4 linked regions of the Stegostoma tigrinum genome follow. The protein of the gene in region 3 interacts with the protein of the main gene of each other region in a pairwise test. Links are inferred from orthologs where the notes say so. Each region holds a gene or a part of one and is shown on either strand. Other genes may lie near its edges. The genes, in order: lzts2a, dhx15, zgpat and ccdc57.

Region 1 (7,279 bases), on a different chromosome or scaffold from region 3:
AAGCTAGCTGAATAGGAAGCAATGTGCAAGACATAAAAATGCTGCAGTGGGATAGTGACAGAATGATTCCACAAGGTGGTGGTGGATGGGGTATAATCCAGGAAAAGGTGAATCCGAGATAACAAAGTGTGGAGCTGGATGAACACAACAGGCCAAGCAGCATCTTAGGTGCACAAAAGCTGACGTTTCAGGCCTAGACCCTTTGTCAGAAAAGCTTTTGTGCTCCTGAGATGCTGCTTGTCCTGCTGTGTTCATCCAGCTCCACACTTTGTGATCTTGGATTCTCCAGCATCTGCAGTTCCTACTATCTCTAAAGGCGAATTCTCTAGCTTGGTAGTAGAAATGAAGGAGCAGCAAATTTTTGAAACACAGTAGTAAACATTGATGTGAGAGGGATCTGGAGATCCTTTTACACGAGTCATAGAACATTAGCATGAAGGCAACTGGAAAGCTGAACCGTTTGCTTTCTCTGCATAGGAATTGGAATATAATATTACAATCCATATGGTTTGAAAGCAGGCCATTCAGTCCAAGAAGTCTATACCTACCCTCCAAAGAGCATCCCACCCAAAGCCCTGTAAACCTGCATTTCTCAAGTCCAATTCACTTAGCCTACACATCCCCGGACACTATGGGCAATTTAGCATGGCCAACCCACCTAACCTGAACATCTTTGGTCAGTGGGAGGAAACTGGAGCACCTGGAGGAAACACATTCAGACATGGGAAGAACGTGCAAACTCCCACACAGACATCGCCCGAGGGTGGAATCGAACCTAGGTCCCTGGTGTTCTGAGGCAGCAGTGCTAACCACTGAGCCACCGTGCTGCCCCTAGTAACAGCAAGAACATCTTGCTCCAATTATATACGGTGGTAAAAGCCTATACCTGGAAGTACAAAGGTACAATTTTGGTCACCTTACCTAAGAGGGGTATGCTTGCATTGGAGTGGATGCAAAGGTTCAACAGATTGATGCCTGGGACAAGAGTGCTGGGCTATGAGGAACAATCAAGTTAGTTCGGGCCTGTATATTCCCGTGTTTAATAAAGAAGCAGTGATCCTGAGTGACCCCCTCTTTGAAGGGTCTAGGCCCAAAACGTCAGCTTTTGTGCTCCTGAGATGCTGCTGGGCCTGCTGTGTTCATCCAGCCTCACACTTTATTATCAGTGATCCTGAGTTACTGTTTCTCCCAGCTGCAGAGTCTGAAGCTATGGATCATAGTCTTAAGATAAGGGGTCAGCTATCTAGGGCTGAGGTGTGGGAAGGATTTAGAGGGTTACGAGTAATTGAAAGTCTGGATCCTGTAAGACGTGGACGAACAATATAGTCTTTGGGACGTGAGCATTAGGGGATAAAAGGGCTCTGGCAGAAATGGGGCGGAAAAACTGAGCTGTGGGGAACATTCTGCAAAAGAAAAACTTATCAGCCTTACAGACTAAGGCACATATGGTCTGCTCCTATTTATGTACATTTCATTTGCATTGCACCTTTCACAACCAATGGGCATTCTCAGAGCACCGTATGCAATTAAATTACTCCCTTGCCAGTCACTGTTGTATTGAGGTAATGTGGCACCCAAATGACAGTGTGATAATGACCCGATAATCCGATATAAGGCATGAACATTGACCAGGACACTGGCGAACACAGCCTTGTTGCTGTTCGAAACCTGCCTCAATCCTTTACTGTCCATCTGAGAGGGCAGGCGGTACCATAGCTCAACGTCTCATCCAAACATTGGGACCCAAGCGTTGGTCTCGACTGTGGCACGCAGCAGAGATGCTTGAGCCCGCAACTTTGTGACTCAAGAGTGTGAGAGTCACCCACTGAGCCCCAGCTGAGACACACATATAGGAGAGGCAGTCTATTCATACCAACTTCTCTAGCTTGTTGAATATTAACAGGCACCTCCCAACCTACAAACATCTCAGCAATAAACAAGTCTTTCTGATTTAATGAGGGGTGCAGCAATTGCAATGGGGAAGGGGGTGTGGTCAGACCACTTTGAACACAACTCCCCTACCCGGGAGACCAAAGGCCAATAGAGAACAGGCTGCTGTTATACAGAGACCGACATCAAGAGTATCTGTACATTTCCACTTTACAGGAAACATTATCCAGAAACGTACGCCAAGATCTTTCCCTTCACCTCTGGGAAATTACAGTCTACCACAACAGCACCAAACACATTATTAATAACGCAGATCCAATTTACTCGCTAGCTTCGTGTTTTATGTATTAAGTTATTGCCAGCAGAAAAAGAAAACACGACCAGCAAAAACAAAAATTTAGAAATTTATGTAGGAGCTAAAAACACAACCCTGGAATCCAGCTCAGCAGAAATTCTCCACAGAAAGAGGAAAAAAAACGTGTTTCTCTCTTGTTTTTCAACAAAGAGTTTATTCTGTACCTCTAGAAATTTCTCTATCTCCTTCTTTTCAGGGGTGAGAGCCTAGCCAGGAGCATGTTAGGGGTGGTCTGGAAGCAAAACTGCCCCTCAGATTACACACCGCGCCAACCAAGCAATTCAGAGACTCCATTCCAGCAGAAATAAACTGGGTTTGCAGAGAGATAATAAACTTTTACTCTCAGTCTCGTAAAACAATATAAGTAGGCTTGACTAATGCATACGATTTGTTAAATAGCTGTTGCGCCCAGTTCCAGGATAATTTGTCATTTTTCTCTCCCCCACAGACACATATCAGGGCCTGGAGGGAGAAGTGTGTGGTTTTACAAGGAAAACGACAAGCACTATCGACCCGTACTTAAACCACACACTCACCGTCTATCGACTCGCCCTCTCCCCTACTTTCAGTTGCGATCCAACGAGCCGCTTTCAAAGTCAGTTCAAATTTCTCTCTCTTTCCTCGGTCTAGCCCCACACCTTTACGCCGCTAGAGCCGGCCAGCATGTTTCTGTTCGATGCATATGCACATACAGAGTGGGGAGAAAAAGGGCCGATGACAAACAAACACGCAGAACTTCCTTCAGTTCCCTTCAGCATCTGTCAGTAACAGGATTTGCTTGTCAGAGTCCCACCCCTTTTTTCTTCTGCAAGGGGAGGGATATTGGAGAAACCTATCGCCGCTGCCTTGGGAAATCATCAGTCATGACCAGTCTGTGCTTCCTGAAGCCCCTGGATCCCTGAAATCTGTGGTTCTGTTCTGCTTTGGTTCAGTTGCTGAATCCCACCCTCTGTTTCACGTTTGAAACTTGACACATCAACATTAAGGAGTTTGCAATAATGGAGACTGAATCCCACGTTTCAGAAAAAAATGCTGAAATGGAGATGATTCTTTTCTAACAATAAATAAATACACGAGATAACAAGGTGTGGAGAGAGATAATGGGAACTGCAGATGCTGGAGAATCCAAGATAACAAAGTGTGAAGCTGGATGAACACAGCAGGCCAAGCAGCATCTCAGGAGCACAAAAGCTGATGTTTCGGGCCTAGACCCTTCCCTTCACTTGTCCCTAAGAGATTGACCCACAACTGTTTATTTCTCCTACCCCATTGGAGAGATGTACAAAAATGAACAAGAATTGTGGCCCCGGGGCGGGGGGGGACAGTGGTCGGGGTAGGGGAAATGGATCATTCTGGTTTATCTCTGGCAGGCAAAAGTCGTGGTTGGATGGACTTGGAGTGACAGCCAGTTCTCAGACCCCCATGGACAAAATGTTTGGGAGATGGTGCCACAGGCAGACTGTCAGCATCAAGACCTCCCTGCATTGATATAGCAGCCTTTAGTGCAGTTCCTGGGGCTGCACAGGGCTATTCAAGGTCAAATTCCACACTGAATCAGGTGACAAGGTGCTGGACAAGACATTGAACGTGTGGTCAAGGGGATAGGTTTTTAGGAGGTTTGAAGGTGGGACGGGGCAAGGTTGGACCAAATAGTGTCTGATACAGAAGCTAAATCGACATGGTGGTGAAGATGCAATTTGAATTCATTAAATATCTGGAATTAAAAATCTAATAATAACCATGGATCCATTGTCGATTGTCAGGAAAAACCCATCTGGTTCACTATTGTCCTTTAAGGAAGGAAACTGCCATCCATACATGCACCCACCTCTACATGAAAAACCTGCCTGTTAGGTCCCTTTTAAATCTTCCCCCTCTCACCTTAAACCTATGCCCCACCCTGGGAAAAAGATTTTGACTATTTAGCCTATCCATGCCCCTCACCATTTTATAAACCTCTATAAGGTCAGCCGTCCACTCTGATGCTCCAGGGAAATCAGTCTCAGGCTACTTAGCCTCTTCCTATACCTCAACCCTGGTAACATCCTTGTAAATCTTTTCTGAACCCTTTCAAGTTTCAAAACATCCTTCCGATAGCAGGGAGACCAGAATTGCATGCAATACTCTAAAACCAATGTCCGGAACAGCCACAACATGACTTCCCAACTCCCATACTCAATGTATTGACAAATAAAGACAAGCATACCAAACTCCGTCTTCACTACATTGTCTACCTGTGACTCCACTTTCAAGGAACTATGAACCTGTATTCCAAGGTTTCTTTGTTCAGCAGCTCTCCCCAGGACCTTACCATTAAGTGTATAAGTCCTGCACTGATTTGCCTTTCAAAAGTGCAGCACCTCACATCTATCTAAATTAAACTCCATCTGCCACTCCTCAGCCTTTTGGCCCATCTGATCAAGATACCTTTGTACTCTGAGGTAACTTTCTTCGCTGTCCACTACACGTCCAATCTGGTGTCATCAGCAAACTTACTAACCATACCTCTTCTGTTCACATCCAAATATTTATATAAATGACAAAAAGCAGTGGGCCCAGCACCAATCCTTGTGGCACACCACGGTCACAGGCCTCCAGCCTGAAAAACAATATTTGACCACCCCCTCTGTCCTCTCCCTTCAAGTCCTCTCCCCATCCCCCTCTCTGATGAAGGGTCCAGGCCCGAAACGTCAGCTTTTGTGCTCCTGAGATGCTGCTGGGCCTGCTGTGTTCATCCAGCCTCACACTTTATTATCTCTGTATCCAAATAGCTAGTTCTCTCTCTACTCCATGTGATCTAACCTTGCTAACCAGTCTACCATCAGGAACCTTGTCAAATGTTTTACTGAAGCCCACATAAATCACGTCCACCGCTCTGCCCTCATCAATCCTCTTTGTTACTTCAAAAAACTCATCAAGTTAGTAAGACACAATTTCAACATACAAAACCATGCTGACTTTCCCTAATCAGTCCTTGCCTTTCCAAATCCATGTAAATCCTGTCCCTCAGGATTCCCTCCAACAAATTACCCACCACCAATGTTAGGCTTACGCTTTATAGTTCCCTGGCTTTTCCTCATCACCTTTCTTAAAAAAATGGCACCATGTTAATCACGCTTCAGTCTTTCGGCACATCACCCATGGCTGTTGATGATGCAAATATCTCAACAAGGGGCCCAGCGATCACTTCTCTAGCTTCCTACAGAGCTCTAGGGTACACCTGATAATAGTCCCAGGGATTTATCCACAATTATGCGATTTAAGCCACCCAGCAGCTTCTCCTCCATAATAATCGCTATTTATTTCCTCACATTCTACATCTTTTTCCACAGTAAACATGATGTAAAATGCTCATTTAGTATCTCCCCCATCTCCTGTGGTTCCACACATAGGCGGCCTAACTGATCTTCGAGGGGCCCTATTCTCTCCCCAGTTACCCTTTTGTCCTTAATGTATTTATAAATCCCTTTGGATTCTCCTTAACCCTATGGGCTGTGAGCGTCACTTCTATTTATTGCCTGTAAGAGCCAACCATATTGCTGTAGGTCTGGAGTTACATGGAGCATAAGGTAGGGAGATGGTAGGAACTGCAGATGCTGGAGAATCTGAGATAACACAGCAGGCCAAGCAGCATCAGAGGAGGAGGAAAGCTGACGTTTTGGGTTCAGGCCCTTCTTCAGAAATAAGGTAGAACTTCAGTATAAGATAGAACTTCTTCACCCAAAGGTTTGTGAATCTGTGGAATTCCCTGCCCAGTGAAGTCATTGAGGCTATCTTATTGAGTGTTTTTAAAGTAAAGGTAGATTTTTGAACAGTAAAGGGAATTAAGGGTTCTGCTGAGCAGATGGGTAAGTGGAGCTGCGTTCACGGAAAGACCAGCCATGATTTGATTAAAGAGTGGAGCAGGCACTTTGCTTTCCTGAACCAGGATGGGTTTCTCCACCTCCTGAAATTAAATACCTCATTCCAGATTTTTTAACTCAAATTCAAATTCCACTTTAAACCCAGGATCCACAGAACTTTACCTCTGGCTTAGCGTTAATGCCACTAGGCCGTCACCTCCTCTGTTTCTGATGACGCTGTAGTGGAACAGTTTGTGGGGGTCTGTAATGCGAACAAGGAACAGCAAATTCTGGGAAACAATTAAAAGGGAAGGAGTGGTTTAACGCAGTGCCTGATGAGCAGTCTTTAGTGTGTAATTAATGAATAAAATCCTTGAATCGTGGAGCCCATGATGAAAAGATTGAAGATTAATCTGGAGCTGAACTCTCAATGCTTTTCACTGGTGCCCCGATTCCCCTCCCATGCTAATGGATTTCTGGTAAGTCTGCTCAGAAAAAATGATTAGCTGACAATTATGTAGCTGGATCAGGGCTGGCTTTCATTCTTCATGGGCCACTCCAGGCTGCAGGATCTCTTCCCTCGGAAACCGTCCGAACACAAGATGAACTTATTATTCAATGAGCCAGTTAATTATAAGCTACAACATGTGTTGAATTATTTATTTGAATAGCCTGCCTGTTCTCCACACTTGTCTTTTAATTGAGAGGACAAGGTTTGAGTTTGCATATTCTCCCTGTGCCTGCATGGGTTTCCTCCCACGGTGCAAGGATATGCAGGTTAGGGTGTCATTTGAGAGTTGCGGGGTGGGGGTGTAGGTTCTTGAGTCCCTGTGCAGTGACAGTGAAGCTCACACAAGGCGTAGGAAGGGTGCGGAAGGTAATAGTCAGCACTCTGTGCTCCAATGCCAGGACTGATATCTTCATTTCACTTGCTGCAACATGGAAAGGATCTGACACCTTTTCATGGGGCATTGCATTCTTGTTGTGGTCACTGATCTCTGCTGGGGATGCAATGGACCCTTCTGGAGTGGGCAAAGATGCCAGCATGGAGACCCCCCCCCCCTCTTGTAGGGGTGGGGGGGGGAGCTGCAGATGTGCCTATAAGGGGAAAGGGCAAACTGGGAAACTACTGATGCCTAGAGACATAGTGATGCACAGCGCAGAAACAGACTCTTCAATCCAACCAGCCCAT
Region 2 (6,874 bases), on a different chromosome or scaffold from region 3:
CAAATGGTGTGACTGGAGTGTCGAGAGGCTGAATAACAAGTGAAGGGATGACCTCCAATCAGATTACTTGAGACAGAGAGATCATTTCAAAAACTTAAAAATAAGGTGGTGCTGGAGACAAACCAAGTGATCTTTTGACCTTTCTGATTATAAAGTCTGTGCCTGGGTGCTCTCTTCACATCACCTGATGAAGGAGCAGCGCTTAAAAAGCTTGTGATTTCAAACAGATTTGCTGGACTATAACCTGATGTCATGTGACTTTTGACCTTGTCCACCGCAGTCCAACAGTGGTACCTCCACATCAATCACATTAGTCAGACAAGATTTTCCTCTAACAATCCATGTTGACTATTCCTAATCAATCGCTGCCTCTACAAGTGTAATCCTGTCTCTCGGAGCTTTTTCCAATCATTTCCCTAATATGTACATCAGACTACTGGGTTTGTAATTAACTGGCCTATCTCTGCTTTTCTTGTACAAAGGAACCACAAAAACTATCTTCCAGACATCTGGCACTTCATCTGTGGCCAGCAAAGTATTAAATATCTCTGCCAGGGCTCTAGCGCTCCCTTCCATTGTTGCCCATAGCAGCCTGGGATACATCTAATCAGGCCCCTGGAATTTTGCGCCTTCATGCCTCCTAAAACATGTAATACTCCTCATTATTCTTAACGTTCTCAATGTCCCAGCTAAAATCACCGTCTACAATGTCTTTCCCCTCTGCCTGTAAACACAGATTGCTCCTTTGGTCTCTAATAGACCCCACTCTTTCCCTGCTAATTCTCTTACTTTTAACATAATTATAAATTGCATCAGTGGTTTCCACAATACTATCTGGCTAAGGTCCCTCTTTGCCCTCCTACTTACTTTTTAAGCAACTCCCTACACTCTGTGGAGCTGGAAGTTCACAGCAGGCCAGGCAGCATCAGAGGAGCAGGAAAGCTGACGTTTTGGGCCTAGACCTTTCTTAGGAAATGGAGATTTCTGAAGAAGGGTCCCGACCTGAAATGTCAGCTTCCCTGCTCCTCTGACGCTGCCTGGTCTGCTGTGTTCCTCTAGCTCCACACTGTTATCTCAGACTTGAGCTTCGGCAGTTCTTATTACCCCTATGCTCTGTATACCTTTGAGGGGCTTCCCCTGTTTTTACTGCCTTGTTCCTGATGTGGCCTCCTTCTTTCTCTTTATTCAACTCTGAACATCCTTTTTTTAATACATTCATTCATGGGATGTGGGTGTTGCTGGCTGGATCAACATTATTGCTAATCCCTAATTGCCCAGAGGGTAGTTAACAGTTAATATTGGTGTGGTTTTGGAGTCACGTGTCAGCCAGGTCAGATGAGGATAGCAGTTTCCCCTCCCTCAAGAACATCAGTGAACCAGATGGGATTTTTCCTTGACAATCAACAATGGATTCATGGTCATCATTAGACTCCTAATTCCAGATTTTTATTGAATTCAAATTCCACCATTTGCCATGGTGGGATTTGAACCTGGGTCCCTGGATTAAAAGTATAGCGATAATACCATTAGGCCATTCCCATCCCACTCCCCTAGACAGCCAGGGTTCACTGGACTTGCTGCCTTGATCCCTCACTCTTAGAAGAACATGCTGGTCCTGAATCCTCACTGTACTGCTTTTAAAAGACTCACTTTCCAAATGTAGACTTATTGCAACTAGTTGCTTCCAGCCTATGTTTGCCAGATCCAGACTAACACTATTGAAATTGGCCTTCCCTTGGTTTTGATGCTCAATTTCTGTATTATCCTTATCCCTTTCCATAGTGACTTTTAAACTCAGAATTATTGTCACCATCTCCAAAACAATCACCCATGAACTCTTCAACCACTTGACCGGCTTCATTCCCGAGGACAACATAAAGCCAATAATCTTGCACACACCTAATTCTTCAGAACACAAGTACTGTGGAAAATGGTAAGTGACCAGAGTACATGAGAATCCATGAATACAAATTATCTCAACGTACTTCAGCAAAGGTCAAAATCAAAGATGACTAATAATTTCAGAAATTCCCTTCAAGTGTAACCCTGTTTCTCTCACACCTCTGTTCTTCTATCTCCCTCGGACAGTTGGGAGGCCAGTAGTATAATCTCAGCAAAGTAATAACCCTTTTCTCATTTCTAAACTCTGTCCAGATGGGCTCATTTGAAGGCCTCTTTACAACATCTTCCTTCATTACTGCAGAGGTAGTTTCTTTTATTGATAATGCCATGCCCCCACCTCTAATATCTTTCACTGTTGTGCCTGAAACTTCTATGGCCTGGAAAGTTGAGCTGCCAGTCTGGTCCTTCCTCCAACCATGTCTTGGTGGTTGCAACAATATCATATCCCACATGCTGATCAGTGCTCTAAGTTCATCTGCCTTATCAGTCAAGATCCTTACATTAAGACAGATACAATTTAGCTTTCTTGGCCTCTTGTGCTTTAACCTGTCTATGTCTCCTCTGCCTAATGGACAATTCTAGCATTCCTTCTATTTCTGATTGGAACTTGCTTCAGATTTTATATCCATCTTGTCCCCTGCCCTATCAAATTAGTTTAAAGCCTCCCCAACAACATGAACAAATTTCGCAGCAAGGTTGTTGGACCCATTCCAGTGTAGATGTAACCACCTACTCAAGAAGCTGTCCCAATGATCCAAAAATTTAAAGTGCTCCCTGCTACACCATCCCTTTAGCAACACATTCATCTGACATATCTTTCGAGTCTTATACTAAATAGCACAGGGCACTCGAAGTGATCCAGAGATTATAACTTATAACTTCCTCTTTAATCTTATACCTAATTCTCTAAATTCCTGTTCCAGGACCTCATTTCTTTTGTTCTTTTGTTCCCCAAGTCATTGGCACTGACAAGAGGCGTGACTGTTGGCTGTTCACCCTTCTCCTTCAGAATGCCCTGATAGCTGCTCGGAGACATCCCTGATCCTGGCACCACGGAGACAACATACAATTCAAGAGACTCTGGTAACAGAGAGCCACCTATCCATTTCCCAATAGTGGATGTGATAGTAATGTCATTGGACTTTGTAACCCAGGAGGTTGAGGTTAATATTCTAAGGACAGTGATTCAAAACCGACCAAAGCAGCTAATGGAATTTAACATTCAAATTAATAAAATCTGCAATTGAAAACTGGTCTCACTGGTGGTGACCTCGAATCTGTCATAGACTGTGAAAGCTCATCTTATTCACTATAACCTTTTTGGCGAAGAAAATCTGCCATTCTGGTCTGGTCTACATGAGACTCTGGATCCACAACAATGATTGCCATTTAACTGCCGTCTGAAATGGCCTACCAAGCCACTCAGTCCAACTGCGTTTATACAGTTAACAGACTTTGCTAGCCTGCATCCCATAGGATAATAATAATTGAAATATGCATGATCAAAAGTTATTTATCTTTGAACTGAACATGAAGTAGTTACATTGTCATTGTCCAAGTGAATTTTGAAAGCTCTCTGTTATGTGGTTGCTCACAAATATTGAAGAACCATGACCGGCAGTTCAGTTGAAGATTGTGACTATGGCTGTTCTGTTGTTCCGTCTGCATCGAGGAAAGAATGTTATAGACTGCTTTTAAAAACTTACAAAGGTCATCTCGTAACCGGTTTCAATTCAGGTCTATCAATTATTGAAACAACGGGAAAATAACCGTGCTTGTGTTTAGGACAGGAAATGAGGTAGATTTCAAATCTTACTCCCAGAAACGGTACATTTTGTGTTGACTTCACACAACTCAGGACAGTTTATAACATCTGACAGAAGCTATATGAAACTAAAACCGCAAGGATCATTCAATAATAAAATGTTAAAACATCTTGCTGCGGTTCCGCGGCGTAACCGTGCCAGAACGAGGTACGTCTCGGTCTGGGAGCCGCCATCTTGTGGAAGTGTTGGGAAGAAGCCCGGCATTGCGTCGGGGCCTGTTGCTGGAGGCTGCTCGTCTTATACATTAAACACTGGGCTGTAGTGGGGAGCGGGAAGTGAAGAAAGTAGATAGGGATATCGAGAGAGGTAAGGGAGACAGGTGCAAGGTGATCAGAGGAGGTGCTGCCTGCGCATGAGCTTCTGCAACAATCGGGACGGAACCCGGAACAGAAGGGGATCGAACGGAGAGACAGAATCGGAACGCACCCGGACCGCTCTAGAACGCGGAGACATGTCAAAGCGGCACCGCGTCGACTTGGGGGACGATTACTCGTCCAGTAAGAAGCGCGCCACCTCGGACGGGTAGGTTAATCCGCAGAGTGGGACGCCGGCGGGAGGCTGGCTGCATCTGAACAGCGGCTCTGAGCGCTAGGGCCTCGGCTGGTTTGCCGAGACAGCGGCCTTGTCGGTGGGGTCAAGCGGCGCTCCCTCAGCGTCCCGCCCGGCTTAGCCGAGCGGAAGGGGCGGCTGCGGCTCGCCGCGGTTCCGCTCTGCCTCTTGCGGAGAAAGCGCGTTAGTTACCGAGAGTGACTGTGCGTGAGAGGCCGAGGGCCTGCGGGTTTGTCCATTACCTCCCGCCACCTCCGCGACTTGGTGCCGCCGGCCTGCAACTTTCCTGCTCATGTCTCGTTTCAGGTAATCTGTTTTTTGTTTTGCCGCCGCTGTATCTTGCAAGGTTTCCGGCCGTTCTTGGCAGGACAGCGCCTTCCGTTCGATCCTGTAATATATGGAGCCTCAACAAGACATTGGCGCTGCCCTACGCCTGTTTCTGCACATGGCTGGGCCACGTTTCCGAGGCCGCACCCGGGTTTTGGGAATTTATACCGAATACCTCGGGGTAGAGGGGAAGACATGTACTGTTGAAGTTTTCTCCGTCGTTTTGCCATGCCCAGTGCTATGGCGGGAATAAGCTTTCTGCACGTTTACTAACGGTATCTTTTCGAAGTTATTTTCCTTATGTAGGTTCGTCCTGAACGTCTCTAGAAGAGGCGCAGAAAGAATGTCAGTTGTCCTCTTTTCAGAGATTAAGGTTTGGGAACAGTGGGGAAATATATTGATGAGGGAGATAAGGCTTATTGGTGTTTTAAAAATTTATTTAATCAGCGGAAAAGTGCGACCCCCCCCCACCCCTTCGCGGGGATGGGGGTGGAGAGAGGGGTGGGAGCCACTGGGGTTCCTAGCTAGGCCTTTTTTGGCAATCTAACCACTACTAAAACACATTTAACGTCCCATGAACGTGTAATTTCGTTCCTGTTTTCTTCCCCTACTTTCCCGAAAGTAGAAGCAGTATGGCTCCACCGGTGCAAATGATGTCTTGCCCAATGTTGCTCATTTATCGCACATTGACTGTCCACTGGCAATTTGTAGGTTAAACTATGGTTTAAGCATGGACACGTAGGTTAGTTCCAATACAGGAGGCTACTCTACCTGAGAATAATTCACTTAGTCCTGTTTTCAGTCCAGCCCATATCTGGTCTGTTCATGTAATTATCCATTTGAAAGTCAGTATCCATGAGTCAGATGAGCAATCCAAAGCCAAGCTCCACCACATTTGCATCCATTGCATTTCTTGATCCATATAAGGTTTCTGTTCATGAACTTTTAGTTCTTTTGTTGATCCCTTGCAGTACTCTGGATGTCTTCTGATTTTGACCCCTCTAACAATGAAAATAAAAAAAATCCCAATTTACTTTGCAGGTTTACTGTGATTTTGATCACCTCATAATCTTCTCAGGAGAACAGCCCATTTCTTTAATTTACCCACTTGACCCTTTACCCTGGAGTTCTGTCTTTTTCTGTACAGTCTCAAATACCCTCACATTTTTCCTAAAATGTGGGCCAGAATTGAACACAGTACTCAGTTGAGGTTGAATTAGTATTTTTTTAAAGCCGAGTGATGACTTCCTTACTCTTATATTTTGTCTCTCCCTCTTTGTACAACCCAAGATCCCAAATGCCTTATCAACAGTATTCCTAACATGCCTGAGCACATTCAATAATTTGTGCGTGTCCCCAAGGCTTGTACTTTCTTTACAATTGTACTGTATTTCAGTGCCTGTCCTTATTCTTCCTACCAAAATATATGACTTCAGCCACCTGTGTAGTAAATTTTGTTGAAGCGTTAGCTCAATCTAGTAGCCTGTTCGCGTTCTTTACATCGTCCTCACGGTTCAGAATACTTAATACTTCTGTGTCATCTGCAAGTTTTGCTATAATGCCTCAAACACATGTCATTAATATGGAACAAAAACAGTCATCATCATAATGGCCTGTTGAAAACCCCATTATATGTGTCTTTAGTTTGTAAAACAAGTGTTCTAGGCTAGTCTCTGATTCCATTTAACCATCTTTATAACTGTGTTCACTACTCCTCTTGCTCCAGTGGGAAAAGCCCCAGTCTGTCCCCGTAACTCAAACCTTCCATTTGCAGCAACATCCTGGTAAATCTATTCTGAGCCCTTTCCAGCTTAGAGTTGATCTTTCTTTGCATCATCTCTATAGCTGTAAAACTATAATCTGCATTCGATATGTGTACGTTGGAACAGGAAAAAAAATGTGGTTTGTGAATAATGTTGGAATAGCTGAAGGTGATGCTGGAACTGTTCTTAATTAAGTGCTCAAGACAAATAGAGTCTCATTACTAAACTAATAGAATATGCTTTCAAATCCTCTGTTTGGTTTTTACTGTTAACAGCAAGAAAGAAAAATCAAAACCCTCAAAGAAGCAGATAGAAAGCTGGATGTCTAGTGTCATGATTTGAATTAAAAAGAGGTTTGGAAAACTTTGACAATTAATATCTGGGACTTGTAGGTTTTGCAGGCTACCAAGCAGGATGGAAAAGTTTAATCCATGCTGATTTCAAATGAGATGATGACTGCAGGCCCGAGAGGTATAGGTGCAAGCTTGTAAAATGTAATTTGAAAAC
Region 3 (7,142 bases):
AACAGCACTCATCACCACAACATCTGCTGCAATCTTCACATATGTCCTGAACAAATGCAGCATTAAGCAAAGGAATTTCATATTCATTTACAAGTGTTTTATTATTTTGTGATTTTCCTTGTTACTGACCTGCTGTCTTCACAACACTTGCTTCCTCCCTGTCACTCCCACCTACCTGATGCTCTTTCAGATACCTCTGGCCTCTCCTAATCACCACAGAACATCCCTTTCCTACCTAAACCCCTAGCACCAGCTTCCCACCTACTCAGTCCCCTTGCACAGCTCTACCCCTTCTACCTCTAATCCACTTGCAATCCTCATCTTCCCCAGGCACCTGTGTAGATCTCACTGCCCTATTGTGTCTCCCACCCCTTTGCAGCTTTCTCACGGCTGTACTTGCTAACAGGAGTGTGCCTATCAGTTGCATGCACAAGACAGCCAGCCTGTAATGAGAGAAGCTCCTCACCATTTTCTTCCGATCTATTTACGGAAACAACTTTTCACTGATCGGTCACCACATTACTGTGTTTTCTTGTGATTAGGGAAGATGCAATCACCCTCTGCCACTACATATTTTCTGCATTGACCTGACTCTTCAAGCCTGTTCCACTATACAATTAGATCATTGCTGACCTTCTGCCTCAACGCCATTTTCCCACATTATCCAAGTGCCCCTTGATATATAGTTTATATCTAGAAATCTATCATTCTTTGCCTTGAATATGATCAATGACCAAGCCTCTATAGGTCTCTGATGAAAAAAGAATTCACCAACCTGAATGAAAAACATCATCTTAGTACCAAATGGACAACCTCTTATTTTGAGACTGTCCCCTCGTTCTACATTGTCCCAGGCAAGGAAATATCCTTCCTGCATCAACCTGTCACGTCTTGTAAATATTTTGTGTACTTCAATGTGATCAACTAAAATATAGGTCTGGTCGCCTCAATCTCTCCTCCTAAGTAAGGAATTCTGCCAACCAAGGAATCAGTCTAGTGAACATTTGCTGTAATACTTCAATGACAAGTATATCATTGCTTAGAAAAGGAAATAAAACTGTACACAATATTAAAGGTGTGGTCTCACCAAGGCTCTATGTAACTGCAGTATGACACTTTTACTCCTGTAAAATCCTGGTGAAACAACATATCAGCACTCCCAATTGCCAAGTGACCCTGCACATTAACCTTCAGTGACATTCAATCAAGGTTACCGAGATCTATTTGAACATCAACACATCTCACTCTCACCACGTAAGAAATATTTTGTCCTTCTATTTTTCCAGATGATATTCCACGTACCATGCGCTTTCAGCCTATCTAAATACTCTTGAAGCCTCTATTTATCCTCCTCACAACTCACATTCCCAACTAATCCAGTTTCATGAATAAACTTGGAAATATTAAATTCGGTCCTTACATCCAAATCATGGATGGGGACTGTGAATAGCTGGGATCCAAGCACTGATCCTTGCAGCACCGCAGTTCTCATGCTGAGAATGAGACTGAATTATAGGAAAATCATTTTTGGATTTGTGGCCACTCAAAAAGAAAACTAAGACAATTCCATATTTAAATAGATATACGACTGTAAACTGTGCATTTCTTAGTGTGCACAGTTCTGCTGCCTTTGAGGTTTCAGATTGACCTAACCATTCATTACACAGAATTTTTAGCACAATAACAGACTATTTAGCCAACTAGCCTGTAGCAGTCCACATGAGCATCATCTCATCCTTCTTAATGGCATCACATCAATATACCTTCAATACTCACTGCACTAGCCTATATTTAAGTAACATCTCTTTAACACTACGTGTCTCAGTTACTCCTCATAGAGTTAAACATTACACAAACTCTAAAATTAAACCTGCCAATGTCAAGATCTGAAATGAAAACAAAAATTGCTGGAGAAACTCAGCAGCATATCTAGCAGCATGTGTGGAGAAAGCAGAGGTCACTGGATTCGAAACGATAATTCTGTTATCCCTCCGTAGATGCTACTGTAGATAATAAAAACCGAAAACAACTGCGGATGCTGTAAATCAGGAACAAAAACAAAGTTGCTGGAAAAGCTCAGCAGGTCTGGCTGAGGGGAAGGGTCACCGGACACGAAACGTTAACTCTTGTTTTCTCCTTCACAGATGCTGCCAGACCTGCTGAGCTTTTCCAGCAACTTTGTTTTTGTTGATGCTATGTGTATGCTGAGTTTCTCCAGCAATTTCTGCTTATGTTATAGTAAAATCACTTCTTAGTAATTTGCTCGTGAATGCTTTGTTGAATATACGAGTACGTGGAGCCTAGTTTTGAACTCCCTCGATGATGTTACTCCATGTTTATTCTCTCTCTCAGTTCAGCCTTCCCTTCCTGAATTACCTGCAGGAGTCCAGGAAGCGACAGCTCCCACTCAGGTAGAACGGGCAGGGCTTCATGGCTCTCTGTGTGGGGTGGATCCACAGGACACGGACTGTGGGCTCGGGTGGCTGGTCAGCCTCCACACCCACCACCATGGCGTTGTGATACTGCAGCGGGCCCCAAGCCGAGCGGTACGGAGCCCGCACCTTGGCGCCGCTAATATCCCCAGCCTCAACCTTAGTCTCAGCCTCATCGCCGCTCCCCGGCTCCTGGTCGGCCTCCCTCAGAGCCGCCTGGAAAGCGGCGTATTCGGCGTCGAGCCCTGACTGGTCCTCGGGCTCCGGCGGCGAGGCGCCTCGCTGCAGCTGCTCCAGGAGCTGGCTCTTGCGGACCGACAGGAGGCTGGACTCGGTCAGGGCGACCAGCTGCTGTAGGTCGGCCTGGAGCTGCAGCAGGTCCGCCTGGGCCTCGGCCTCAGCTTGGGCCCCGGCTCCCAGCGCCGCCTCCACCTGCTGCAGCTGGGCCTTGTACACCTCGATGGCCGCCTCCAGACTCGCCTCGTCCATGACCAGCGCTCCGGAGCCGCACTGACAGCGATCAGAATCGTTCAGCTCCCGCCGCCATGGCCAACGAGAACAATAACTCCGGAAGGAAAAGACAGTGAACAACCTCTGACCTGTGGCTGGGCTCACGCTGGAAAAATAGTTCAGTTCGCAACCGGGAACATGGGGAACATTATAAGTCCCACTCTCTTCTAGTTCCAAAATCTTGCATTTTTAGCCTCCATGGATCATTTTCATTATTTGCAAACTTTAGGTGTCATCTACTTTTATTTTTCTTAAATTTCTGCCCACTTTCTGTTTTAACACCCCCCCCTCTCGTATTTCATTAAATAAACTAAAGTTCGTTTAAACGGCATTTTTCCTGTTCTCAGGACACCCCTAAACACTAATCACTGAGTACTTTCTGTAAGTGCACTGCCGTGTTTTCAAGGCAATAACACAGCAAGATACCGCAAACAGCCAAGAGATAAAAGCTGTGTTCCAAATGGAAAACAGAAAAATGTGGAGCATCAATGAAAGGAACAAACAAATTGATGGTTTGGAAGTTAGTGTTTCAGCAATACTGATCAATTAATCTGTTTCCAAGGGACTAAATTTAAAAAAAACTTGTGACTGAAAATTGTTTAATCAAGGAATAAATGTTCAGCTAGGACAACATGAAGGATTTCTGTTCTTTAAACAGATAAGCCCGATTATATCAGAGATAATGGGAACCGCAGATGCTGGAGAATCCAAGATAATAAAATGTGAGGCTAGATGAACACAGCAGGCCAAGCAGCATCTCAGGAGCACAAAAGCTGACGTTTTGGGCCTAGACCCTTCATCAGAGAGGGGGATGGGGTGAGGGTTCTGGAATAAATAGGGAGAGGGGGGGGGGGCGGACCGAAGATGGAGAGAAAATAAGATAGGTGGAGAGAGTATTGGTGGGGAGGTAGGGAGGGGATAGGTCAGTCCAGGGAAGACGGACAGGTCAAGGAGGTGGGATGAGGTTAGTAGGTAGATGGGGGTGTGGCTTGGGGTGGGAGGAAGGGATGGGTGAGAGGAAGAACAGGTTGGACTGGTTTTGGGATGCAGTGGGTGGAGGGGAAGAGCTGGGCTGGTTGTGTGGTGCAGTGGGGGGAGGGGACAAACTGGGCTGGTTTAGGGATGCGGTGGGGGAAGGTGAGATTTTGAAACTGGTGAAGTCCACATTGATACCATTAGGCTGCAGGGTTCCCAGGCGGAATATGAGTTGCTGTTCCTGCAACCTTCGGGTGGCATCATTGTGGCACTGCAGGAGGCCCATGATGGACATGTCATCTAAAGAATGGGAGGGGGAGTGGAAATGGTTTGCGACTGGGAGGTGCAGTTGTTTGTTGCGGACTGAGCGGAGGTGTTCTGCAAAGCGGTCCCCAAGGCTCTGCTTGGTTTCCCCAATGTAGAGGAAGCCACACAGGGGGATTGGTTTCCCGATTATATAATTCTTTTCACTACTGCCAGCTTTTTATTTCTAAAATTTTTAAAATAAATTTAAATTAACTTATCGTCATTATGGGTGGGATTTTCAGTATTTTTCTGGATTATGAGTCTAATATCATAACCACATTACCCCTTTTATTTCATTTCTTTATTACTGAAAACCTATATAGTTCAATATCATTTCCTTCTCAGATGCCATTTTAAACCAAACCTGTCTCCTCAGGTGGCATCAAAGGTCCCTGGTGGGCACTACTCAAAGGAAAGCAAAGGTCCTTCTTTTGCCCTGACAAACATTGTAGACTTGAACAACACCACCACAAATGATTATCTCCATTCATTCGTTTGTTTCTATCAGATCTTAGTGTATACGAGTTATCATTGTATTTACCTTTCCAATAATTCTAATCTTCAAAAGTCAACAATTGGTTATGAAGCACTTTAGAATTTTCTGAGTACACTGTTAAACTGAATCCCGAGAGGTGAATTCCTCACTTCTCAGCTCGGAGGTTGGTTTCATTAGTTTGAATTTATAAAGATTCTTTTTCTATTCAGCATATGCTTGACTGTATGTAAAAACTATATGAAAAATTAAGCCAGATGGATTTCTTGAACCAACAAGGCTTATACTTGAGTTTATAATAAAACTAATTGAAAAACTAAAACTCATTCTGAATCCTGCAAAATATATATGCTGACTTGCAGTAGCATCCAAAAAAATGTTAAAAGGACGGTAAAGATGAAGTTGTCGGGAATCCACGAACGTATTCCAAGGTTCCTTTGGCAGTCTTGATGTTTGGATGGTATTACAGCTGATTGTTCTACTAAAGATAGTCTCTTTTAAAATGCAATCCATCCTTTTCCAGAGTGGGTGCAATGGCATTTTGAAGTTTCTTTTTAAATTCTCCATCTGTGTGATGTATTCCAAATTGTAACAATGATATTCTCTGCAGCTTGAGGCAGAAATATTCAATAGACATAGACCATTCATTTTGTTTAGTTTATTATTGCATAAATTGCAGAGTACACAATCAAGCCATTCAGCCCGAGAGGTACATGCTCCGACCATCTCAATGCACATTAAAAGCACAACTTTCTATTCATTTTTTCCCTCAAATACTTACCAAACCTTTGTTGAAATGTGTTTACTGCATTTGCCTCAAACATTTTTTCGGTCAGTATTTCCATGTGCTAACCGCCGTCAGGAGCGGGATTTTTCTTCATTTCCCTGATGGGATTATAGCTCTAATTATGGTCTCTCCCATATGTGGAAACATATCCATGTCAGACCTACGCTGAAGTTGTATTTTTTCAAATGTAGTTTTCAGGGCATATGCATTTTACGATATTATGTCACGCACAAGATGAATCTGAAAAGTGTCATTTAAAAATCTATAAACTGACAACTTCTGGGGTGAACTTAACAGTTGCAACCTTTAACAATTAAAAATGGCAGATGACTCGCCCTGCGCATGTCCACCTCATTTCCGCCCACCCGCCACTGAAGGATTATGGGTATTGTCGTTTTAATGCCCCCGCCCTCATTCAGAACAAAGCGACAGAAAAACTACAGCATTTCGATGCCTAAGGGGCGGTCGAAGATCCGGTTTGTTCAGGCGAAACTTCCGCTTTGTGTCGTTTCCATAATTTGGAGCCTGGTACATAACAGAAGGATTTAAATGGATTTAAAGGTCTAAAGGTAAGAGCTCCGTTTAGTAAGCGTTATTGGTCGCGAAAGGGTGACTCTTGAATTGAAAGCCATCGTTCTAGAGCATACAAGAGACGATGAGGGATGTTCAAAAGTTTTATACTTCGTTGCTGTCATTAAATCCAGAGCTTGACAGATTATTTCATGAGCGACAGTGCCTTACGTTTCCAAACACGAATAATATAAACCTTTATAACAGTGTCCTGTTTCTTTTTTTGGGATCGTGTTCCTGTGAAACAAAACATATAGTACACTATTTGGAATAGCAAGAACTGTAGATGCTGGAGTCCTGAGGAAGGGTGTAAACCCGAAACGTCGACTTTCCAGCTCCTCTGATGTTGCCTGACCTTCTGTGTTCCTCCAGCTCGACACTGCATTGATTATAGTTATTTGGAGCTTTGGGATGTAATTTTGTGTGTCATAGAGAAATACAGCTTGAAAACAGACCCTTTGGTCCAACTCCTCTGTGCTGACCAGATATCCTAAATTAATCTAGTCCCATTTGCTAGTATTTGGCCCACGTCCTTCTTAAATCCTTCCCATCTGTTTACCCATCTGCATACAATTACAACATTTAAAAAGGTATCAGCCTCCACCACTTCCTCTGGCAGCTCATTGCATACACACAACACCCTCTGTGTGAAAAAGTTGCCCTTGAAGTCCCTTTTAAATCTTTCCCCTCTCACCTGAAACCTCTGCCCTCTAGTTTTAGACTCCCTCACTGCAGAGAAAGGCCCTTGTCAATTCACCCTATCAACATCTCTTCTGGTTTTATAAACCTTTTATAAGGTCATTCCTCAGTCTCCAATGTTCCAGGGGAAATGGCCCCAACCTGTTAAGCCTCTCTCTATGGCTCAAACCCTTCAACCATGGCAACATTCTTGTAAATCTCTTTCTGAACCTTTACCAGTTTCAAAACATCCTTCTGTGTTATTATGTTCTTCCTCATGTATTGACCAAGATTAAATGGTGCCTACTTTAAATGGGTGCAGAGTTTGGAAGATAATTAGATTTCCTGTGATGTTAGCCAAATCATGCTCATTAGCTAAATATTTGACGTA
Region 4 (7,479 bases), on a different chromosome or scaffold from region 3:
TGATATCTTATCAAATGCCTTTTGTAAGTAGAAATACACTACAGGTTCCCCTTTGGCCATGTCAATTGTCATATCCTCACAGAACTCTTAAAATATTTGTCAAACATGATTTTCCTTTTATAAAACCATATTGACTCTGCTCATTTATATTATGATATTGTAAATATCATGCTGTAACTTCCTTAACAAGAGACTTCAAAATTTTTCCAATCACAGATGTTAGACACAAAAGCAGAAATTGTTGGAAAAGCTCAGCAGTTCGGGCAGCATCTGTGGAGAGAAATCAGAGTTTGCATTTCAGGTCCAGTGACTCTTCCTCAGAACTAGATGTTAAACAAATTGGTCTATAGTTTTGTGTTTTTAATTTTCCTCCCCTGTTTAATACAAACAGTATATCTGTAGTATTCCAATGCCTGGGCCTGTCCAGAATCTAGAAGACTGTGGAAGATTACAAACTTGAACCAAATTTCTCCAGTTAAAATTTCCATCCTATTTAATGCATGGCAACAGGGCCCACAGTTCACTGCAACTAAGTCTGAAAAGTAAATGATAGCGTAGTATAGCATTCACAGACAGGCATTAACCATAATGATGGCATCATAATTGCAATTTAGAAAGATAGATATTTTGGAAATTGATGCCAAATCATATATTTCCGTCAGATTCACTCAATGTAGAATCCTAGATGTGTCTTCCCTCTTTAAACCTGACTATGTCAACTTTCCCATTGCCACACTGGTGAGTTTAACTAATGCTACAGAAACTACGATACAAGGACTTTCTCAGTTGTACGTATGGGCAAGTTCGAACTGTCATTATGAAACCCTGTGCGCAACTTTATGTTATCTTGATCCTGTGTTGAAGTTGCCTCACTTTAAGTGCTTATAAACACCAACAGTCATGGAACCAGAACACTGTTATGCCTTCTTCTATCCATTGTTATTCTTGCTACTTTGATTCTTCCATTGAGGTCTGTGTCCATTTAAATAGACTCACTGGAAGTAGAACCCTCATCTTCACACTGATGGTAAGAAAAATAATCTAAAACGTACATTTCAACTTTTGAATTTAAATACATATTTTACGTATGCAATCTAATTAATATATTTTAAATTCCTTCTACCAACAGCCAAATCTTCAGTTTACCACTTCTTCCCCTCTTTTTTATTATTACTACTGCTATTACTGGTTCCCACCCCTGGTATCCTCCTCATCAATGCTCTTGATTCATTACTAGGAATAATGACTCAGGCAGCAGGTAAGTACCAAATGTTATCTTTCCAAATTTATGATTATTTTTGCGAGCCCTAAGTTGACGTAGTGTTAGCCTCACAGTATGCATCACACCTAAACTGAAATGGTTTCCTTACCCAGATGCCGATAGACAGCAGGAAGTAGCATAAACTCTAGCCAGTGCTCTTGATCAGCATTGATTTTCGCCAAACAATAGTCCGAAGACTGAACTCATTGCTTTTTAAGTCCCAGTTACAATCTGATCAACACCAACTTTCTGCATGAGAACTGTATGATGCTTAATCAAACAGTTTGCAACCTTGATTTCATATCAGTTTGTTCAGAAACGGCATCATGTCGAGCTCCTCAAAAACCTGACTTTATCTCTGAGCTCGCTCTCCAATCTCATCTCTCTCGCCCACTCCAACCGCCACTGTAACTCCACAATTATGCTTCAGTTCGTCTCTTTGGTCACAAAACGATTCAAAGCCCGTTCAAATAGGCCTCTAATTTCCCGTTGCCACGGTGACGCGCGGCGGTGCTTCTGTCAAAAATCCATTCCGGGGTCCCCCGAACGCGTGGAGTATTTGTGCCATCAACAATGGTTCCGTTTTCTTTGTAAGATGTATATTTTGTTCAAATAAATCAACTAAACACAATACATGTTGAAAATAAGTAGCAAGAGTGCTGAGAGAATTCATCCTTCTTCTTAGTCGTCTCAGTGATTATCATCCATAATGATTCTCTCAGTTGAAATGTATTTTAATTTTATATCGATTAGCCCAAAGGTTTTACGAAAGGATCTTCTATTAAAGGTTAATTAGACAAATATTTGAAAAAGGCAGTAGCACAGTGCTAAGCGTCTTTGCCACTGGGCCATTAGACCTAGATTCAAGTTGTAAAGAAACGCTTAAACAGGTTGATATAAAAATCAAAAACTGAGTTGTACTGGATTATTGGGTCTTTTGTTTTGGTGGTTGATTCTTAAAATATACGCAGGAGATAAGTAGTTTCTTGATTGGTAAGGGGATCAAAGATTACGTGGAGAAGGCAGGAGAATGGGTTTGAGAAATGTATCAGCCATGATTTGATGATGGAGTAAACTCGATGGGCCGAAAGGCCTAATTGTGCTTATAGTCTTATGGCCTATAATTCCTAATTAGATAAGACAGGGAGCTGAATTTTAACACTTTGACCTATCCCCATCATTTTGGAGGCGGAGAGGAGGAGTGGAGTGAGGCTACACTTACAGACCTCCCTCTCTCTCTCTCTTCGCTAATGTTCAGGCTGTTTGTATTGAATTGTTTAGAGAGCTGCTGGTCTGCACGTATCCACAATGTGACTCCAATCTCTGTAACAACAAGGATATGCTAAAGATCCAATTTTTAAAAAAAATACACAAAGACTTGCTCATTGATGAAAAAGCACTTTACGCATTCACACGTTTTCTGTTTTGGGTCCAGATTTCCCAACAATGAACCCTTTGCCAGTAAGTGATCATTTCCAAAAACAGCGGAAAATGCGTGAGAAACTGCAAGCATCAGCTCTTTTGCATGTTCTTCTCCGTTTAGGTCTGCAACAGAATACTCTCTCACAGAACTGGGATGTCATTTCTTTCACTGTGAATACACGTGTCAAAAAGGTTCAAGTTACCCCCACCCCCGACAATAAAGGCACGTCCCTCAGCATTTATTTTAAAAGTGCTCATGAACGACCATCCATCATCTAACCTTTCGTACTTCAAACAGAAGATGTTTGGCAACACTCAGCGGGATAGGCAGCGTTAGTGAGGAAAACAGTCAATGCTTTGGTTCCGTAAAATTTCATCAGAGCTTCGCTGAGATGAATATGTTTTCTAAACCTCGTCGTGTGCGTTCAGGTTTCAGTTCATTTCACAATTTACAAGTAGGAAAAAAGGCTCTGACTGGAATAATAAAGTATCCAGTTTTATCGAGTCTTTCTTGATAAATTATCGTACGTTCTTGCGTGGTGGAAAGGGAAATGGAAGACTGCTGATTCACAGCGCAGTGAGATGTATTTTACTATAAAAGGAATACACAACTCATTTATAGGCACTGGGTATTTCCTTCCATGTACTTTTTCTACAACGCCCGCAATAAATTACAACGACATTCCTGTTACACAAACTAGGAAAGTCGCGTGAAGTCAGAATGAATAAGCAAACAAGCAGAAAGGGAAGAACGAGCAAAGCAAATTTAATTCTTGAAATTTAACAAAGAAACAAAGGAAAAGACCGAGCGAAAGCACAAAGAGACAAACTAAACGTTGTGGTAAAAAGTGAAAGGATTTTTAAAAAAAGCTCCTTCAGAGAAATGCAAAGACAAGAAAAAAAGTTCTCATGATATGATTAATATTGACAAAACGACAAGTGTGTCATGAAAGGAAAGGGCGTAAACGATAGCAGTTCTTGCTGCAATCCTCTACTCATACTGCTAGATAATTTGCATAATTCGAGTTCGGTTGAAAGGCCACCGACCCAAAACGTTAAATCTTGTTTCTCTGCCCATAGATGCAGCCTGGCCTGCTAGGTACATGTAGCGCTTTCTGTTCTTTTTTCTTTGTCTTCTGGCACCTGTAGAATTCTGCTTTTGCAAATCATCGCAGTTACAACAATGGACCAGGTCCCGAGGAGGTGAAATCCAAGTTGTGGGACAACGTCATTTTAAAAACAAAGGACAGGGGAAAAAGTAAAAGAGAAATCATTGTAGCAGCTTTCGGATCTTCGAATTAGAAGGTTGCTGATGATGTCTTTCGTCTCCCTTTCAGTGGATGTAGAAGTTGCTGTTGCAAGGAGACATTGGAGTTTACCTGGCCAATGTTGTTCAAAAAAATCTAGTCGTCATCTCATTGCTGTTTGTTGGACTTTATTTGGTGGCACAAAAATGACTGCCATATTTGTCACAACACATTTATGGCATATTTAATGCCTCACCATACAGGACATCCTGATGTTGTGAAAGGCATCATAATGAAAGTTACCTTTTTCTTCATCAATTGGATGGATTCATTATTACATGAATTTTGCTTCTTTGTAGGTAACGCCACTTTTGTTACTCAATTTGCATGTAACAAAAAAAAGAGTTTGAAACAAAAACAGAAATAAGTGGACAAACTCAGCAGGTCTGGCAACATCGATGGAGATGGAAACAGAGTTAACATTTCAGGTCCAGTAACCCTTCTTCATAACTGGACCCAAAATATTGGCTCTGCTTTCTCTCCACAGATGTTGTAAGACCTGCTGAGTTTCTCCAGCTATTTCTATGTCTGTCTAGGATTTCTAGCATCAGTTCTTTTTATTATTTGAAAAAAGGTTTTCTCAACTCACTTTGTAAAGGAGATGTGTAGCTGTTTTAAAATCAGTTAATCAAATACCCCAAATTAAAACAGCTTCAAGGATGCCAGCCCCTTACAAACAAAATGTGTGTTTAAACCACACACTGGGAGATCCCTTTTCTCCCCAGGTGGATTGGTTGATCTCAAGTAAGACAACAGTAAAAGTGACACTGAAAGATTCAATATCTCTGAAATAGTGAGTGGGAAAACACTGTTGCCAGACCTTGTTCACTAACTTGTATTCCATGTAGGAATAAATACATATTTGGATATTGAATGAAGACAAGATTGACTTCAGCTGGAAGATCTCCCTCTGATCATGTTGACTGCCAAAGCTCGCAACCTTGACTCATACATGAAGAGTACATTTGCAGAATACTCAAGAGCAGCCTTGTTCGTGGTGCAGGGAGACCAACCCATGGAAGCAATTCCCATTCCACCTGAGGTCATCATGCAGGCCCCAACTTTGCAACCTCGCCTGCAGCCTGTTGACCCTCAGGTTAAATTAAAACACCAGTCACCTCTCTATTATGAGAGAACAGCCTATGGTCCCCTGGGACTATGTGACTTAGACTTCACCTCAACATAATTCAATGGCTTTGAGAGAACAGAACAAAATTGTAGGAAATGGGAATCAAGTTAAGAATTTCCCTTTTACTATTAGAATAATGAACTGGCTTTTTATTAAAATTACTTAGATTTTTTTACTTGGTATAAATGTCATTTAAATTGAATCACTAACAATGGACTTTGAAAATTAATAGTAAATGACTAGTGCAGACAGTTAGGGAGAACAGGCACTTTTTATAAACTGACAAAATAAAGCAGAAAGATTGGAGAATGCAGGGACAAAGACCCAGCTCATTGTCCAGCTACACTGTTAATTGCCCTGAATATATTAAAGACCTTGGTGTACAGGGTGTTGCGTTAGAATTTGCAGAAGTATTGTGTGATGTAAGGAGAATAGTATAGAATTTCAAGAGGACATAGACAAGTTGGTGGAATAGGTGGACAAATTATGGATGAATTCAATTCTGTAAGTATCAGTGATTCATTTTGGTAGGAAGAACACAGAAAGACACTACAAAATAAAAGGCAAAATTTTGAACAGGATGCAAGAATAGAAAAAACAGGGTATATCCGTATATAATTAATTGAAGCAGGCAAGACAGGTTGAAAGGGTAGTTAATAAAATAACTGGCATCCTAAACTTTATTAATGGTGGCAGGAGTATAAAGGATGTTATGTTAAACTTGTATAAAATACTGGTTCAGCTTCAACTTCAGCACTGTGAGAGAGATTGCAACAAAGATTCACATGAATGGTACTGGGAATGTGGAACTTCGGTTATTAATAAGATTGGAGATGTTGGGACTGTTTTCCTTTGAGAAAGGAAAGTTGACAGCAGATTTGGTAGAAGTGTATAAAATCAAGAGGGATCTGGACAGAGTAGAGAGGAAAAACTGTGGCTACACATGGAAGCAGAGTACAATCAAGAGCATACAGGCCTAAAGTATGTGACAAAAGAAGCAATAGAAGACAAAAAGAAACAAAAAAAATTTGATGAGGAGGAATTTCTTGCCTCAGAACAGAGTGAATCTGTGGAATTCTTTACCACAAAGGGCTGTTGAAGTTGGTTCATTAAGTATATTCAGGCTGAGATAGATTTTTAATAGAAACTGAATCAAAGCTTATAGGGAAAAAAACAGGAAAGTAGAGTTGAGGATTGTCAAATCAAAAGCAATCTCATTGAATGTAAAGTGGACTTGATGGGTTCAATGGTGTACTTCTGCTCTGAGGTTTTATGGTCCACACAGCAAATGGCTAAGAGGTGGAATTTACAGCCCGAAAGTATGTTGAAGGCAGGTGTAAGTGATGCATTCAATAAGGAATTGATTAATCTGAAAAAGAAGAATATGAAGGTTTTAGCTAACAGCCTGGGAGATGGTATTAATTACTTAATTGGCAAGCTGCTGGGTATAAAATCTCATTGTTCTCATTTCATGAAAGTAAAATGAGTCCAACAAAGCCCAATTGTGGGGGCCAACCTCCTGTTTTTCATAACACCTGAAAGATGTAATCAGAAAGGTGATGGTTACATTCTCTCTTGTTGGAAATTGTCATTGCCATGCATTTGTGTGGCATAAATGTTACTTGCCTGTTATTAGCCTAAGCCACGATTTTGTCCAGGTCTGGCTGCATTAGGACTCAGAACCTTCAGTCATTGATGAGGCTGTTTAGAGCTAGGACATTACCCCGGGAACTTCTGCAAAGGTGTCACTGAATTGAGATTAAGATCTCTCAAGTAATCAAGGCTGAATAGGTTTATAATTTCTGATATTGAAGTAGACACCGTGTGTAGATAATCTCAAAGCATATGACTGGCACAGGAGAAGAATACGCCAAAGACTGTCAATGCCAAAACAGAATGTCTTGTGACCCGACTGCAGATCTCAAGGAGTTCTGATGTTGACCTTTCAAAGTTGACCTTACCCATCATGCCATGGAAAAAGGAGATCACATCGAACAGCTTCTGTGGGCAGCTCTGCTCAACTGGCCGGATGTCTTGTTGACGTCAGCGAAGGCCACATATTCAGTTTTCCATTGTTCATGATATTTCTCTAGCAGCTGCTGGATTAAGACATTTGTAAATTTCTTGTCTTAAATCACACAGATTCAAGGTAGATGCGTTCTGTCAAGAACTTAAGTCTGGCAAAGGCAACATGGGCAAACCATTTTTTTAATGACCAGTAGGGAGAATACCCGATAATTGTTACAGCTGGAGTATTTGGTTAAATTCCTGATTGTCAAATGACAGGAAGAATATGAAGGCTTCAGAGAAGGTGCAGAAAAGATTTAAGGAATGATTGTAGGGATAAAGGACTTCAATTA

The links.
Region 1: the proteins of zgpat (region 3) and lzts2a interact in binary tests that used the Homo sapiens proteins (3 or more experiments, as listed by UniProt). The two-hybrid records come from large-scale screens. The link is inferred for Stegostoma tigrinum from reciprocal best matches to the Homo sapiens genes ZGPAT and LZTS2.
Region 2: the proteins of zgpat (region 3) and dhx15 interact in binary tests that used the Homo sapiens proteins (3 or more experiments, as listed by UniProt). The two-hybrid records come from large-scale screens. The link is inferred for Stegostoma tigrinum from reciprocal best matches to the Homo sapiens genes ZGPAT and DHX15.
Region 4: the proteins of zgpat (region 3) and ccdc57 interact in binary tests that used the Homo sapiens proteins (3 or more experiments, as listed by UniProt). The two-hybrid records come from large-scale screens. The link is inferred for Stegostoma tigrinum from reciprocal best matches to the Homo sapiens genes ZGPAT and CCDC57.

Annotation. Positions count from the first base shown.
Region 1 is NC_081373.1:6,413,837-6,421,115, forward strand, and holds the start of lzts2a (leucine zipper putative tumor suppressor 2a), read right to left. Parts: upstream 3,006-7,279; 5' UTR 2,782-3,005; intron 1-2,781. UniProt on the Homo sapiens protein: Negative regulator of katanin-mediated microtubule severing and release from the centrosome. Required for central spindle formation and the completion of cytokinesis.
Region 2 is NC_081354.1:88,290,745-88,297,618, reverse strand, and holds the start of dhx15 (pre-mRNA-splicing factor ATP-dependent RNA helicase DHX15), read left to right. Parts: upstream 1-3,866; 5' UTR 3,867-4,080; coding exon 4,081-4,250; intron 4,251-4,281; exon of another isoform or gene 4,282-4,569; coding exon of another isoform or gene 4,570-4,583; exon of another isoform or gene 4,584-4,587; intron 4,588-6,874.
Region 3 is NC_081372.1:35,392,717-35,399,858, forward strand, and holds the start of zgpat (zinc finger CCCH-type with G patch domain-containing protein), read right to left. Parts: upstream 3,020-7,142; 5' UTR 2,922-3,019; coding exon 2,377-2,921; intron 1-2,376. UniProt on the Homo sapiens protein: Transcription repressor that specifically binds the 5'-GGAG[GA]A[GA]A-3' consensus sequence. Represses transcription by recruiting the chromatin multiprotein complex NuRD to target promoters.
Region 4 is NC_081375.1:27,668,036-27,675,514, forward strand, and holds the start of ccdc57 (coiled-coil domain-containing protein 57), read right to left. Parts: upstream 3,005-7,479; 5' UTR 2,964-3,004; intron 1,785-2,963; exon of another isoform or gene 1,371-1,784; intron 1-1,370. UniProt on the Homo sapiens protein: Pleiotropic regulator of centriole duplication, mitosis, and ciliogenesis. Critical interface between centrosome and microtubule-mediated cellular processes. Centriole duplication protein required for recruitment of CEP63, CEP152, and PLK4 to the centrosome.